Drosophila melanogaster: one gene and its partners. The protein of the gene in region 1 purifies or fractionates together with the protein of each later gene. This does not show direct contact. Each region holds a gene or a part of one and is shown in the gene's direction. Other genes may lie near its edges. The genes, in order: Mcm5, Psf1, Cdc45 and Sld5.

The links.
Region 2: the proteins of Mcm5 (region 1) and Psf1 purify together in Drosophila melanogaster (affinity purification with western blotting; 2 studies listed by BioGRID, with this or other methods). This does not show direct contact.
Region 3: the proteins of Mcm5 (region 1) and Cdc45 purify together in Drosophila melanogaster (affinity purification with western blotting; 4 studies listed by BioGRID, with this or other methods). This does not show direct contact.
Region 4: the proteins of Mcm5 (region 1) and Sld5 purify together in Drosophila melanogaster (affinity purification with western blotting; 2 studies listed by BioGRID, with this or other methods). This does not show direct contact.

Annotation. Positions count from the first base shown.
Region 1 is NT_033777.3:10,786,539-10,791,771, forward strand, and holds Mcm5 (minichromosome maintenance 5), read left to right. Parts: upstream 1-1,985; 5' UTR 1,986-2,126; coding exon 2,127-2,278; intron 2,279-2,332; coding exon 2,333-3,443; intron 3,444-3,501; coding exon 3,502-4,323; intron 4,324-4,386; coding exon 4,387-4,503; 3' UTR 4,504-4,612; downstream 4,613-5,233. Other genes in the region: Art1 (arginine methyltransferase 1), read right to left, coding at 228-849, 937-1,166, 1,235-1,510, 1,574-1,576. UniProt on the Drosophila melanogaster protein: Acts as a component of the Mcm2-7 complex (Mcm complex) which is the putative replicative helicase essential for 'once per cell cycle' DNA replication initiation and elongation in eukaryotic cells.
Region 2 is NT_037436.4:1,246,371-1,249,544, reverse strand, and holds Psf1 (partner of Sld five 1), read left to right. Parts: upstream 1-1,867; 5' UTR 1,868-1,870; coding exon 1,871-2,479; 3' UTR 2,480-2,559; downstream 2,560-3,174. Other genes in the region: Sac1 phosphatase, read right to left, coding at 1-1,254; CG32318 (uncharacterized protein), read left to right, coding at 2,912-2,991, 3,058-3,174.
Region 3 is NC_004354.4:1,027,757-1,032,395, reverse strand, and holds Cdc45 (cell division cycle 45), read left to right. Parts: upstream 1-1,839; 5' UTR 1,840-2,068; coding exon 2,069-2,979; intron 2,980-3,031; coding exon 3,032-3,848; 3' UTR 3,849-4,105; downstream 4,106-4,639. Other genes in the region: CG14630 (uncharacterized protein), read right to left, coding at 286-872; Rpp21 (ribonuclease P/MRP subunit p21), read right to left, coding at 943-1,327, 1,387-1,553; CG3021 (uncharacterized protein), read right to left, coding at 4,246-4,639.
Region 4 is NT_033777.3:26,054,998-26,058,406, reverse strand, and holds Sld5 (Sld5), read left to right. Parts: upstream 1-1,859; 5' UTR 1,860-1,915; coding exon 1,916-2,026; intron 2,027-2,086; coding exon 2,087-2,540; intron 2,541-2,598; coding exon 2,599-2,720; 3' UTR 2,721-2,750; downstream 2,751-3,409. Other genes in the region: Tcs6 (Threonyl-carbamoyl synthesis 6), read left to right, coding at 220-254, 318-618; PIG-P (phosphatidylinositol glycan anchor biosynthesis class P), read left to right, coding at 584-1,060; CG14543 (uncharacterized protein), read right to left, coding at 1,099-1,560, 1,625-1,750; Cmpk (Cytidine/uridine monophosphate kinase 1), read left to right, coding at 3,071-3,409.

The DNA of each region.
Region 1 (5,233 bases):
GTACAACTTGCTTAGAAGTATGTTCGAATAATAATTTAAACAGGCGCACGAGTGTAAAATATTATGTATACTAACAAAGGTACACTTTAAACTTAGGAGAAGACGCAACACGAATTCGTTGCACATTTCGCACTGGAATAAACCTTACGTCTAGTCATTGTATGTATCCTCGCTGCAGGGCTCTGAGCCCCATCCCAAATGGCAGATCGGATTGGTTATGGCTGCCCCTAGCGCATGCGGTATGTGTTCGACTCCTGAATTTGAGACAATTCGCCCTTGAAATTAATGTCGATGACGAAGTCCAGGTCACGGTTGTTCCGCTCGTTGGGCTTCATCTGGAACGTGCCAGTGATCTCCTCGTTCTTCTTTGCCGTCATGTGGTCATCGAGGTAGAACACGGTTTGCTTCCAATGCGTGTATGTGGAGTCTGGTGACGTACTGAACCCAAGACGCTTGTGGCACTTGGTGAACTCTATATTAAAGTAGGTGACTAATGCCTGCACGAAGTCGTTGCGCTTGATGCATAGGCTGAACTTGGACGAGAAGTTAAGATCGGCCTTTTGCACGGTATACAGATCCACCTCCTTGACCATGCAAGATGTGGATACCACTTGCTTGGGATCGACCACGTCGACCAGTGGCTCGGTCACGGCCACCTTACGAATGCAGCTCATGTCGAAGCCGTAGACATCGTCCCACCAGTTGATCTTCTCGTCCTTGTACTGTCTGTCCTCGATGGCCGTGATATACAGCGTGCCCCTATCTGGGAACATCATGCCGTCCTTCTTCAGCCACTTGTCCCGAGCGTACAACACTGTATCCAGCATGGATTCGTAGAACAGGCAGTAACTAAATTAAGGAAAGAAATTAAAATGGTTAATATGCTAAATCAAATATGACCACTTTTTAAAAGCTTAACTACAAATGAAAACCTACCCCATCCACTCGGAAATAATAATGTCCACTCCCTCAATACCATTTGGAAGCTCAATCTCCTCAATCTTGCCCTTGACAACCGTGATTACATCCTGCAGATTGTTGTCAATGACCACTTGGCGGGCAAACTCAATGATGTTGGAGCAGTCGACGGCAATCACCTGAGCAGCACCGGCTTTGGCAGCGAACATGGAGAGAATGCCGGTACCGCAACCCACGTCCAGTACGGTCTGCAAAGAGGAGATACCCCGGTGAGAAGGGCTACGAAAAATGGGGAAACCCCGGAAGTTAACCCTACCTTGCCCTGAAACAGATGCTTGTTGTGGTACATGGCGTTGCGGTATGTGACGGTGCGCACTTCGTCCTTGAGCATCTCCTCGTGGATCCCGAAATGGGCATAGGAGTCAAAGTAATAGTCGCGGGACGTCATCTCGTCGGCGTTGGCATTGGGATTATCACCGGTGGAGCCCTCCGCGGGCAGCTTCTTCGCCACATTGTTTGAGTTCGCATTTGAATTGGGCGTGATGCCGGTCGCCGATTCCACAGCTGCCTCCATGGGAATGTCTGTGCTGGCCTGCGAATCGGGTTCGTCAGCTACTGGCCTGTCGATTGCCGTCACATTTTGACCAAAACTTACCATTTTCTAATTTCTTCGGCGTCTCTTTGGTTTTTCACGTCGAAAAATTGGCGACTAAATGATGGGACTGTTTCTACAGCACGCTAGTTTAAAAGGTCGCTTATCAACACTGCCCCCGCACAAAAGCTGGAAACAAATATCGCCAGCTCGATATTATTGGATTTTTCTGAAATTTTAGTATTTTTGAGCTGGGAAGAATTGGAGTCAGTTGTCTAAGGCATGTTCCATATAATCGAGTAAAATAATCTTTGTCATAACATCAATAAGATATAATAAATACGTTCATGGTTTATTAACTGCTGCAATGCTTGTTGTATTGGTCCTATTTCACTGCTAACAAAAATACATAAACTGGGAAACACGTTTCATCGATAGTTGTAAATAAGATCCGATAGTTTTACTGGTAAGTGCTCATCTCTAGCTACCGCTTGCCCGGTAATTTTGGCGGCAAAATATTCGCACATCGCATTTACTAAAAAACGAAATATAAAGCGAAGCAGAAGTAGCGTCTATTACCTCAGTTCTTCTTTTTAACTTTGTTTACCCTATCAAAATGGAAGGCTTCGACGATGCGGGTGTGTTCTTTTCGGACAATTTCGGCGGAGATAACCAGCAGGATGCGCAAATCAACTTGCAGGCGGTAAAGAAGAAGTACAAGGAGTTCATCCGGACATTTAACGAGGAGAACTTTTTCTACAAATACCGGTAAGTGAACTGCATCTCCTCATCTGAACCCCATTTAAGGTAATCCCCCTGCAGTGACACCCTGAAGAGGAACTATCTTAATGGTCGCTACTTCTTGGAGATTGAGATGGAGGATTTGGTGGGCTTCGATGAGACCTTGGCTGACAAGCTGAACAAGCAGCCGACGGAGCATTTGGAAATCTTCGAGGAGGCTGCCCGGGAGGTAGCCGACGAGATCACAGCTCCCCGGCCGGAGCACGAGGAACATATGCACGACATCCAGATTCTTCTGAGCTCCAATGCGAATCCCACCAACATACGACAGTTGAAGTCGGACTGCGTATCCAAGCTGGTTAAGATCGCCGGAATCATTGTCGCAGCCTCAGGAATAAGTGCCAAGGCTACGCGGATGTCTATCCAATGCCTGTCCTGCAGCACGGTCATACCGAATCTCAAAGTGAATCCAGGTTTGGAGGGCTACGCCCTACCCAGGAAGTGCAACACGGAGCAGGCGGGCAGACCCAAGTGCCCGCTGGACCCCTTCTTCATCATGCCGGACAAGTGCAAGTGCGTCGATTTCCAGACCCTTAAGTTGCAAGAGCTCCCCGACTTTGTGCCACAGGGTGAGATTCCCCGCCACTTGCAGCTCTTCTGCGATCGCTCGCTCTGTGAACGCGTGGTGCCCGGCAATCGCGTGCTTATCCAGGGCATATACTCCATTCGCAAGGTGGGCAAACCCTCGCGTCGGGATGGTCGCGAGAAAGCCGTCGTTGGAGTCCGTGCTCCTTACATGAGGGTGGTGGGCATCACCGTCGACTCAGAGGGTGCGGGTGCCATCTCCCGATACAGCAACATCACATCCGATGAGGAGGAGCACTTCCGGCGAATGGCCGCCTCTGGGGACATCTACGAACGTCTCTCACAGTCACTGGCGCCCAGCATCTTCGGCTCTCGGGATATCAAGAAAGCTATAACTTGTATGCTTTTTGGCGGGTCTCGTAAGCGTTTACCGGATGGTCTGTGCCGTCGAGGCGACATTAACGTCTTACTGCTGGGAGATCCTGGTACTGCCAAGTCACAGTTGTTAAAGTTTGTGGAGAAGGTGGCACCCATAGCAGTCTACACTTCGGGCAAAGGCTCCAGTGCGGCTGGTCTCACGGCTTCGGTTATGAAGGATCCTCAAACGGTGAGAAAAAACATTGCACACCTAATCCTTACAAATTAAATGATACATTAATCTTTAGCGTAACTTTGTCATGGAGGGTGGAGCCATGGTGCTGGCCGATGGAGGCGTGGTTTGTATTGATGAGTTCGACAAAATGCGAGAGGATGATCGTGTGGCCATTCACGAGGCCATGGAACAGCAGACAATATCCATTGCCAAAGCCGGCATCACGACCACCTTGAACTCACGCTGTTCGGTCTTGGCAGCTGCCAACTCCATTTTCGGTCGATGGGACGACACCAAGGGCGAGGAGAACATTGACTTTATGCCCACAATTCTCTCCCGTTTCGACATGATTTTCATTGTAAAGGATATTCACGATGAGTCGCGGGACATTACGCTGGCCAAGCACATCATCAACGTGCATCTGAGCTCTAACAAGTCAGCGCCTTCAGAGCCGGCTGAGGGTGAGATATCGCTGTCGACGTTCAAGAAGTATATTCACTACTGCCGAACTCATTGCGGTCCGCGCCTGAGCGAAGCTGCCGGCGAGAAGCTAAAGAGCCGCTACGTGCTTATGCGCAGTGGAGCCGGCCAGCAGGAGAAGGCATCTGACAAGCGGCTAAGCATTCCCATCACTGTGCGTCAGTTGGAGGCTGTCATCCGCATTTCGGAGTCGCTGGCAAAGATTCGTTTGCAACCGTTCGCCACAGATGAGCACGTGAACGAAGCACTTCGACTTTTCCAAGTGTCTACCCTTGATGCTGCGATGACTGGCAGCTTGGCTGGAGCCGAAGGATTCACGACCGAGGAGGACCAGGAAACACTCAACCGCATCGAAAAGCAATTGAAACGTCGCTTTGCAATTGGATCTCAAGTATCGGAGCAGAATATCTTACAGGTAAGCACAGAAGTCTTATGAATCGAATGAACAATTTTTATTTATAATGCTTGCTTTTCATAGGACTTTTTGCGTCAGAAATACGAAGAACGCACGGTAATGAAGGTAATTCATACCATGATCCGACGTGGAGAGCTGCAGCACCGGATGCAACGGAAGATGCTCTATCGAATTTGCTAAACACTGTTAATCACTTCATTTCTTGTCCATCGTTGAATATGTCTTCAATCATTTCGTCACATTATTTGTATTTCCATTTATAGTATTAAGATAAACTACATTCTTTCCCAATAAACCAAATTGAATCATTATTTTATTTATTCAAATTCTGTTAAATATTTGAACAATAATTCAGTGATGTATTTAATAGCTAGAAGTTTACAGAATAGATACTCTGATACTTGTAGTGGGAAATCCTAGGTATTTCAAGTGCATAAGTCAGTCGAGCCGGCAGACTATATGTTTGGTAAATATTTATGATTGTTTACATTTAAAAAATGAGATTATAAGCAATGTCTAAATTCTGTTTGTTGATAATGCTTGGTCGAAACACATAGACCCTTTGGTCGGCCTCCAAATTTTCGCGCAAACCGACAATTTCGCTCTACATTCGACTGTGTTTGCCTACGTCATTCGGACAAATCACAAAAACCAATCATATTGCCTTGGCCACTTGCCAATTTCTTAAAAATATTTTTTCCTCTGTTTGAGAACGTTTATTACTTCCTTTTATACAAAACTCAATTAGTATATTTGCGCATGCACATCTATGTACTTACATACATTTGAAAACTGAAATGTACTCAAAATGTGCACGAATTTTCAAAAATACGTAAGCGTGTTACGTATGCTCGCTTTTGGCCATTTAAAAACAATGGCAAATGTATATATATGTATATGTATATGTAGG
Region 2 (3,174 bases), on another chromosome or scaffold:
ATGAAGCACTCCCAGCTTCTGGAGCACCGCAGTGAGGGACCTGCGGGCCAGCATGCTCTGCACGACGTTCGTCCTATCGAGACAGTCGATACAATTCGTTCGGAAGACACCAGTCTGCGTGGACACCAATTTGCCGTCGTCGAAGACATGATAGACACCGAACTGATCCTGCTCATGGGCGAGGCGATCGATGAGTATGTTCAGCCGGTCCCAGCGCATCTTACGGCACTCGCTGTGGAAGTCGAAAGACTCGTATCGCACTTGTGGATTTCCCATTTCTCGAACCAGGCGGGCATAGGTCGCCTCGAGCTCGCCTTCGGCACCTTTGTGATCCACTAGATTCACAGCCACATTGTTGCCATACAGCCGGATCTGTTCCTTAAAGTGGAGCCCGCAGGCGGCCAAATGATCCTTGCCCGGCACCAGAACGGGTCGTGGCTTATAGCGCAAATTGGGCAGCTGGTGCCAGTGGAAGGGCATGCTGCCTCGTGTCTGCACGAATCCAGTCAGCTGCCCGTTGAACTCCACTATTTGCTCGGTCTCTACGAAGTTCGCAACATGGCCCTGCTCGTCGCTGCCTCGGCAGAAGAGCCGTGTGCCCGCCCGCTGCACGGAACGCCTGGTGATGATGCTCCAGAAGAATGTCTGCCCGTTGATCTGCACCTGGTTGATAGACACGAAGCCCAGGACGAGTGGCAGCTGGAACTTCTCCATCTTATCGCAGTTGAACTGCCGCAGCACATAGCCATTCCAAACGAATCGCTGCTCAGCGCGCTGGAGCAACCCGGATACTTCAGGCCGCGATTGTGCCACCTCCCGCTGTCGCTGCAGCGAATTGGTAAGGTCGTAGCGGTAGGAGAAGTAAAAGAACTTGGTGTCAAGTGTCTGGCGTAGCAGTCGCAAGTAGTTTTCGTTCTCCTTGCGCTGGAAGGAATTCGGAATGTAAGGTATGATGTCATAGCCCGCTAATCTCCACACAACTGCGCCATTGAGCACGCCCACGAAGAGGCGGTGGGTCGCCACCAGAAGGTAGTCGCAGCTCAGTAGGTGAATGGTTCCCAGCACACCACAAATCCTCCTGGTGGGGCGAAGGTTGGCCACAAGACCTCCGCTCGCTGGCTGAACCCTGGTGACTTTGTCGTGGCGCCCGATGACCAGCAACTCATCTCCTCCATTCGGCTCGATGATGAAGCTCTGCGGTGCGATGTACAGGTTCATGTCATCGTACACGGCGTTCTCCTCCCTGCTGTCCATGATTTCCGGGGGCGGTGGCTGGCCCACTTCGAAGACTAAGGGTTAAAAATGGGATAAGGGTTAATAGCTATAGCCAGTGCTGCTTCCTCTTTCTCTGCTCACTTCCTGTAATCGGGGATTCACTGTCGCTATCACCGCTGTCACACACGCACAGCACCAAAATCAGCCACACAATCAGGAGGTTACTCGTTCTTTATTGATTTAACACACAAATTGCAGTTCATCTGATTTTTGGGCCAACTCTTTGCCACTACGTGTGTGATAGGGATGGACCAGTTGGCTAAATAGCCGAATAGCGAATAGCTAATATATTCGATACTTTAAGATGTTCACACCCACTTACTTGCATGTGGTACTCCACTCCCGCAGTTGCACCAATCTAACCAGGATGGCATTTCCTCTTAGGACGGCATAATTTGGGCCTCGTAAGCTAAATTTTGATAAATCACCGTTTCAAATCTATTTTAAAGGAACATGGCTACTGAGGATGAAATTTTTGTTATTTTTTGAAATATACCAAAAGAAATACCAAGTATCGATACCACAAGTCGACGAACATTTTGGCGCGAATCCATCACTAGATCCCCAAACCAAAGAAAAACAGAGAGGATCAACAATGAGCCGACAAACAAAAATGTTCGGCGAGAAAGCCTTCGACCTGCTAAAAGAACTGGAGAGATCGTCGCAGACAATTCCCGCCTTCGACGACGATGGGGTGCGCCAGGTGCTGGAGGAGATCAAGGCGATATTCGAGGAGAACGTGGCCCAGGCCTCCAGCTACAATGCTTCCGGGGATCGCAGTCTGTGGCCCCTGCTCAACTTCAGGCACGCAGCTCTCCAGAGGAACAAGAGGTGCCTGCTGGCCTACCTATACGAGCGGTGCAGGAGGATCAAGGCCCTCAGGTGGGAGTTTGGACCCATTATCCCCGGGGACATCAAGCAGGCACTCTGCGAACCGGAGGTCACCTTCTTCAACAACTACTCCAAGTCCCTGGCTGCCTACATGTGCAGTGCGGGCTACAACCAGGGCTTGCCCATTGATCTAACCAACAATCTGCGTCCGCCCAAGTCACTTTACATCGAGGTGCGCTGCATGGAGGACTATGGGAAGTTCGAGCTGGACGACGGCGAGGTGATCCACCTGAAGAAGAACAGCCAGCACTATCTGCCCCGAGCTCAGGTGGAGTCTCTCGTGAGGCAGGGCATTCTTCACCACATAGCCTAGTCGGGATTATTTGATAATAAGAGTTTACTATACATATTTAATGGTTTAATGTAGAACAAATAAAAGATAAAAAATTATTTAATTCAAATAATTTGAACATTCTGTAGTTTTCCAATACTTGTATTTTTCGATGTTGGTATTTTCAGGGTGCCGTGTTGCGGTCACACTATTTGCGCATTATTTTAAAATTGAACGGACAACTGAAGACGCTGCTTCTCTCTGTTCTCATTGGAAATAGTGCGAAAATTGGTTTTCCACGCCAGCCTTCTGTAAATAGTAGTTACAGTTATCAGCATTCGGCTCGGTGGAAGGTGAAGCACAAGGATTTCCAGGAATCAAACACACACACACACGCATACCGATACACGCGACAGGCGTCATTTTTTGGACTGTACGCGCTAAAACCACAATTAATTGTTTCAATTGATCAATATGGACATATCTGGTGGGAATACGTCGCGCCAGCCCCAAAAGAAGTCCAACCAAAACATCCAGGTGTATGTGCGCGTCAGGTGAGTTTGTATATGTAACCAAAACCCCTTAAAAAGATCTACATATATCTTCTATATCTTTTGTAGACCCCTTAATTCTCGGGAACGTTGCATCCGCTCGGCCGAAGTCGTGGATGTGGTCGGACCACGGGAAGTGGTCACCCGCCACACGCTGGACTCCAAGCTCACCAAGAAGTTCACCTT
Region 3 (4,639 bases), on another chromosome or scaffold:
TATAGCTGAACTTGAGTAATGCAACTAAGGTGTTTTCCCTTTTAATTTATGAAATGTGGCTAGCATATTCTGTAGTAGTATCTAGCGTGAGTAAGTGGTAATCAAATCTTTATCATGAGTACAAATGGACACCTGGTTGAAAATATTTGCCTGATTCTGGCTGTAACAATCAACCGATAGTGATAATATTTAGTGGACTGATAGATAATACAGCTCTCGGCAAATGTGAGTTTTATGACCCTGGTACTGTACGATGAAGTATGTCATCTATTGGTTAATATTTACCCGTAGGTGGTGCGTTTTATGTAGCCAATTCGTTCGGCCAATTTCTTAGCCACATTTATGTCGTTGGGTGCCCCTTTCAGAATGGCGAATCCTTGGACTGCCAGTGCCTCAAGCCAAACTCTCAGGGCTGCATCTTGCTCCAGCACATCCTCGTATTGGAATTCTCTTTTCACATCCTCGAACTCCGTTTTTCCCCAGAGTTGAGCGGGTGGCTTGTAGACCTCCTCCAAGTAATGCTTTCTGCCAGTCTCTCCAAAGTCCCTTTCCCTCAGCCAGCCTAGATCGAAGGTGCTCCTGTGCTTGTCCTGCCAGATGATCTCCAACTGTTTCCTCTCCTTGTTGTAGGCCACTTGGGACACTGGTATATTCAGCGGGCCACGATCCCAGTGACTTTTTCTTGCTCTTGTGGCGGCGTGGAAGCACTCGGCACACTGACAGTTGTCCCTAAGCCAAACTTGGGGGTACTTCAGGAGATTGCCCTGCTCCTCCTGGACTTCTACATAGTCGGGGCATAGTCGCACACAAGCAAATGTGCTCGCCTGCCGAAGAAGGCTCAGCCGAGAAATAAGTTGCCTACAGCTAAGCATTCCAGGCTCAACTGCCGAGCAATCAGGTGATGGCACAACAGGCAGGCTGGCTGATAAGCAAAGCTTCAGCTTATCGCTCGTCTTTCTCTTTGGGGAGCGAGACCACTTGCACTATGGATTGCGGCTGCTCCAACCAGCAGTCTCTTTGACTGTTCGCCGCAAAGCTTCGCCGGCCGCAGCAGAGTGAGCACTCTAAGAAAAAAGAGACCTGTTCAGTACTTTCTTGGATTTGCTCCTCGGATTCCTCCTGGTTGGTGTTCCCTGTTTTCCGGCTTCTGGGCTTCTTGCGCTGCCTGCGATGGCGCTTTTTCTTCGTTTTGACTGCTCCGTTCGATTGAGCTTGTGCATCAGTCTTGGCCTCCTGTGCTCCTTCCTCCACATGCAGCTCCGTATTCACTCCGGGAATCAGGGGAAGGAAACAGCGCCTGCACAGGGAACGCTTCACGGCCGGGGCCCTTGAAACCAGTTGACGCCATGAATTATTTGCCCATACTCCACTGGAGAAGCCACTTACATGTGCATGATAGCCTTGGTGCCCACATTGCGGCAGAGTTTGCCATAATAGGCGGCCAATTTTGGTTGATTGCCTACTGCCATTAAATTCGAGGCCTGGAACAGGTAGTTCATGCGTGAGGAGATGGCCCGCTGGGTCAGGTGCTTCATCTTGTTGTCCCTGCTCATATTCTGAGGCTTTTGTCGCACAAAGCTGGTCGACTGGTAGACTTTCGTTTTTGTGGCAATTCAAAACACATGGGCGTCGCGGTGTGACCGTATCTGGAGCGCCAAGATATTGCTCCTACTGCAATAGCAGCAACTGCAAAGAGCTCTCAAAATTCAACATTATGTGATTATAATTTCGGTTTTTGGCAGCTCAAAATTTCTGGAAATTCGCAGAATATTCTTTTCCCAGCAACGATTGTATTTCCGCGCCATTCCATTATTTCACACTGGTCACACTGGCTAAGCCAGCTGTTTCCCGCGTTTTTGATTCGCCAATTGCGATTGCCAGAAAAGCAAAAGTGGAGCGGCAGTGGGAAGCTGGAAAATAGCGCAAGCCGCAGGGAAACCCTCAAAATGCAACGCACTGCACTCATGTAGAATTCTACTTTGCATCGTAAGCGATTGGAAAGAGACCGTTGTGTCTAGACGTAGACAGATTAGGCAGACGATTGGGATTCCCGCCAGAAGTGTTCACCATGTTTGTCCAGGATCTGCGCAACGACTTTTACCGCCAGCTGGTTGGCAAGCGCATCTTGATCGTGGTCAACTACGACATCGATGCCATCTGCGCCAGTCGCATCCTGCAGGCCTTGTTCAAGTACGATCACATGCTGTACACCGTGGTGCCCATAATGGGCGTTACGGGTCTGAAGCGGGCCTATGGAGAGCACCAGGGCGACGTTAAGTACGTGGTGTTGGTGAACTGCGGCGGCTGTGTAGATATTGTGGAGCTCCTGCAGCCGTCGGACGACGTGACCTTCTTCATATGCGATTCACATCGCCCGTTGGATGTGTGTAACATCTACAGCGATCGGCAGGTGTGCATCTTGGGGGATGCCTCCTTGGAGGAGAATATTCCAGCGTTCGAGACAATTTTCTATGACTCTGAAGGTGAAGACGAGGATGAGGACGAGTCCTCTGACACGGAACAGCAGCACGACGACAGTGGTGCCGGGGAATCGGACCAGGAGGATCAGGCGCCAAGGAGCCGTAAGCTCAGTCGCCTGGAGCGGCACGAGCAACGCATCCTGAAGCAGCGAGCCCGCCGACAGTGGGAGTCTGAGCGCGACAGGATTATGTTCGAGTACACGCAGTTCAGCTACTACGGCAGGTCCGCCGCTTTGATGGTTTTTGAGTTGGCCTGGAAGCTCTCAAAAGACAACATGGACCTGCTCTGGTGGGCCATTGTGGGCATCACGGAGCAGCTGCTGCTGGGCAAGATCGAGAGTGGAGCGTATACTTTGGAGCTGGAGCAAATCCAGTCGCATGTGTCCCGACTGACGAACAAAACGAATGATCAGAACACGATGAGTGCCTCCAAGATAACCTTCGAGAATGATTTGCATCTGGTCTTGTACCGCCACTGGCCCGTCACGGAATCCATGAGGTGAGCATTGACAGTGTATTCTATGCCATTTAATCATGTAGTATAATCGTAGGTATTCCCGCTACTCCTCATGCCAGCTGAAGCTGTGGACACTGCGCGGAGAGAAGAGATTACACGAGCTGCTGCTCGAGATGGGACTTCCCTTGGTGCACGCCCGCCAAACGTACGGAGCCATGGATTTGGTGTTGCGCAAGGAGTTCTTCTCGATGGTGGAGCGCCTGGCGGAGAAGTACGACATAGCGGACATAGTTTACGGCACCTTTACGCTGAGCTACGGCTACCGCAGCAGATATGCTGCGGCGGACTACGTTTATGCCCTGCTCGCCATCATGGAGTCCGTGAAGAAGCACAAGACTCCGGAGGATTGCTTTCTGGAGGCCTCGGATGCTTTGAGTCGTCAGCACAAGCAGCTGCTGTCTGCAGGCATCGACCAGGCGAAGCTTTTGCATGCTGCTGTCTTTCGGCAGGTGCAGAGCAGCTTGGAGGCACGCCAAGTTCATTCAGCGGGCTCCTTTTTCTACTACGTTCTGCAGGAGGAACACGCGTTCTTCTCATACCCCTATGCCCTTGGACTGTTGGCTCGCTTTCTTTTGCGCGGACATGTGGCCACGAGTAGAGCCAGGCAGGCTTCGGACTTGCCGTTGATCGCAAGTTGTCCCCTGAACGCTTCGGAGGGCATGTGCTTGCTGGTAGGCATTGTCCCGGTAAGGGAAGACTCTCCGCGAAACTTCTTTGGCAAGGCCTTCGAGCAGGCGGCGCAAAAGAGTGGAGTCGCTCTATTGCAGGACTTTTTCGAGCCAGCGGTGGTGCAGCTGCGGCAGAGCGACCTCACACGCTTTCTGGACTCCCTCACGGTGCTGTTAGCCTAATCCACGCCGCTTTCTATTCTACCTGCTACCGACACATCCCTGCTCAATCATATTATGTGCTAAGCTAGTTTTATATCGCGAGACCTCACGTGTACACTTAGTTTAAGATTTTACCAAACCCTATTTATGTACGATTGTGTGTTAATAACTTTATCATTGCTCCCAGGACCACAAAATGCAAAATGTCCTTTTTCAAAAACTAATTGTAAATTTGACCTAGAATAATAAATTTAAATTAAAGTGTTTACCATGGAATTAAAAGTGTCGATTCACGTCTAAAATTTACTCGGCGCTTAAATTTATGAAAACGTATTTACCATGCTATCTATACATGCCGTGTTGGCAGTTGGACTGCCTTCTTACATTTGGTTTATTTTCTGGCTCAGAGGAAACATCATTAGCTAACCAGATTTGCGGCTTGAGCTTGCTGCGTCTGTGCGTTTTTTTTCTTTAGGGGATTAGCGCTGAGGATGCGGGCCGAACCCAAACAAGCTGTGTCGTCATAGAATACGGCATATTGTCCTGGTGTAATAGCTCTTAAAGGAGCGTCCAACTCGACAAGAAAAGTGTTACTGGGAGAGATGCTCAGCTGACAGTCCACCAATGGTTTGGTGTGCTGGAATCGAAAGCGACACCTCAAGCTGCCAGTGTCCGAAAGAATCTGTTGGGACTTGGAACACAGCCAGTTGGGCGGATCGACGGCTATGTGGGTGCTGAGAAGGGCGGGATGGTTGTGGCCAGATGCCACATAGATGGTATTGCTTGCGGCCTCTTTCCTGGCCACAAAATAG
Region 4 (3,409 bases), about 15 Mb from region 1:
TTTAATTGACAGCTTATTTCCCATTGTTATTAACTTCAAAAACTTAACAAGCGCTTAATTTAAAACATAAATGTGATTATGAAGAATGCTCATTTTTAAACATTTGAATTCTTCAATCAGCTGTTCACGAGATAAACAGCCGGTGAATGCTTCTTCTTCATAAATTGTCATTAACTTTCTCCGTTGACATGTGAGCATTTCAGATTGGTTAAAACTTTTATGATGCCACAAATTGCAAATAAACCAAATGAATCGTAAGTTTAACCATTTAACAAAGAAATAAACATAAATTTAGTAATAAATATTCGCCTCATTAGCATAATAAGAGTGCCGTTTGAGACGCCACGATTGGCCGAGATCGCCTACAAAGTCCTCGGTGTCGACCAGGAGCCGCGCCGGAATTTCGTGAAAAAAACTTTGAGCCTGGAGAACGATGTTCTGGTTGTGCACTTTCAGTCGGATCAAGTGAAGAGCCTGCGCACTGCCATCACCTCCTTCTTTGAGTGCCTGCTCCTGTGCCAGGACACCATCAACCAGTTCGGAGACTCCAAGAAAGAGAAACTAATCCCCGAGAGCAACGACAATGCCGGAACACACTCCAGCTCCGACTCCCCATAGGGCGGTCTATGGTTTCGCCTTCTATATGCTGTTCACGGTCCTCTTCCTCGTATACGTGACTTGGGCGCTGCTGCCAGTGGAGTTTGGTCTGCACTCGTATCTGCCGGACAAGTATTTTGCCGTATTTGTGCCTTTTCTGGTGCTGGTCTTCGCCTGGTTCTTTGCCTTCCTCATCTATCCTGCCATAAATCTATCGATGACAGTGGATGTTGATTCCATTGCCTCGGTGGTGGATCCAAAGCTGGCACTGCCCAAGGGGACAGAGTTCACCTCCTGGTCGCAGTTGCAAAAAGGCAAGGTCAGCCAGGATTCCGCATCAAAGAAGGCCTCTCCAGTGAACTGCAACCTGTGCAGGACTTTCCACCAACCTGTGACACGTGCACCTATTCCACCACTGCGTTTTCTGGACCTCCAGGAAGTAAATACAGCGTATTATAACTAAAAAACTAGCAGGTTTCTTTTTAATCATCCCGACGAAATTCATTTTCTTCGCACGGTGGTCCAGCCGTCTTCCGGTTCCACAAACTCCTCAGCCTGCTGCTTTCGTGCCTGCGATCGCGTCATCCGACCACTGCCGCTGGGAGTTTCCTCGTCGCCCTGGCCCATTTCATTATCGTCCTCCTCGTCGCTGTCGTCCATGTCCTCATCGGATGAGGAGTCCCCATCGATGGGTGTGTAGGTGATCTTAACATCCGGACGCAGCCACTCCTTGCCAGCAGGAAGTTTACTCAATTCAGCCTCTATTTGCGGAAACTGGTTCTGCTGGGCCATCAATTTGTAGCGCAGCAGATTCCGGCAGATCTCCGGAATGGAGTCGTCGTCGCAGAGGGTGTTAAACTCCTGGTCCATCAGCTCCTCCAGGACCTCCACCAGTTCGCCTTGCGTGATATTTTCGTTGGACACGCAGTACTGGTAGGTGTAGTCCATGATTTCTATGGCCACCTACAAAACGGACACTCCGATTAGGTTAGAAAAGAAGACGGTTTCAGGGTATACGAGCAACAACCTGTTGGCCATTGCGTCCGCCCATGCCATGCTCCACCGCCAGCCGGAGATCCTGCCAGTGATTGAAGATCTTCTCTACAATCACTCTAAAATTCTTTTGGAATTCAGTTTGTTGTGCGGCTGCCATCGCATGCTTTTGTGATATCGATAACGGTTAGACGTGCCATTCACACGGAGTAAAAACAAATGAAACAGTGATGAAAAACGTCAACTGTATTACTGGAGTGACATTCCCAACGATTCCCAAAATTTGCGCCAAAATCTGCAAAATAATAAACAAATAAATAAAACCATGTCGGATGTAGAAGACGTGCCCGAAACCCAGTTAGAAATCGATGTCAGCGATGGCGCCGGACTGGAGGATGAGGATGATGACGATATGGAACAGATTACAGCTCAGAAGGTAAGGTAAATCGTAACACAGCTTTTTAATACGCAAGTAATCACATTCTGATATCCCTAGGTTCTGGAAATCATAGAAACCGCGTGGATAAATGAAATGTGTGCGCCGGAGATCCTGCCCAGCCAGACGGACATGCTGGAGCTGATGGTCTCCCAGGTGGCCCACATGGAGGAGCAGATGCGCGATCTGGACAAGAACGATTTCCGAGCGGTGGTGCACTCCATGGAACTGGAGAGGGTGCGCTACATAATGGCCAGTTATCTGCGTTGCCGCCTGCAGAAGATCGAAACCTTCACGCAGCACATCCTCAACCAGGAGGAGAGCCGTGAGCCGGATGACAAACGTCTGTCTCCCGAGGAGACTAAGTTCGCCCAGGAGTTTGCCAGTAATGTGGATGAGTACTTCCACAAAGTAGCCACCCAGTACATGCCCAACCAGCAGAGAGGAGAGGCGGAGCAGAGGATTGTGACGCCCAATCTGATGAGCCATGTCTTTCTTAAGGCAAATGTGGCAGGTAATAACCTTTTGTCATCTAATTAAGATAACCGCTTAACTCTTGTTTTGCTTTCCAGTGCCCGCTGTGATCGTGGGCGTCGATGATGAGGAGGTGGACATGGCGGCCGGCTCCCAGCATATTATTCCCTACCAACTAGTGGCCGACTTGATACAAAACAACCAAGCGCAGCTAATTTAAAAGACTTATTTAGCAGGTAATATACATGATAATAAAAAAAATTAAAAATCAAACTCTGCAAAGCTGCATGTTTAAGGGTACATTTAAAAATGTTGTAGAAGAATATTTAAATTAAATTTAATTTATTTAATATCGAACCGGAAGTAAACTGCATAAAATGCCATTCAAATTGGTTCGCTTCCCGCTAAAGCCGGCGCCAGTGTTGCCGAACGGACGCCCGCGAACAGCTGCGCTTGTGCGTGACGTCACAGGGTGTTACGTTTCCAGTGGAAAACAGTGGTGAGGTGTACTGCAGGCGGCATACACATAAACCACGCATTCAATTTGCCTTCAGTTTGGTTCAGTCGTCAATGTGGCGGGCTTTGGCACGAACGACGTTGAGAGCAGTAGCCAACGATTGCGGTTCACCAGGAGTCGGTCTCGCACCATCAGCGCTGACGCAGCACCAATTGCGACATTCCAAGGCCAGCAATAGGTTCATCACCACCACCTCCACAGCCCCACCACACAATATCGGAATCATGAGCGTAGAGAAGCCAAAGATTGTCTTTGTTTTGGGCGGTCCCGGGGCCGGCAAGGGCACCCAATGCTCCAGGATCGTGGATCGCTTCCAATTCACCCATCTCTCGGCCGGCGATCTCCTGCGCGAGGAGCGGTCGCGGGAGGGCTCCGAATTCGGTAACCTCATC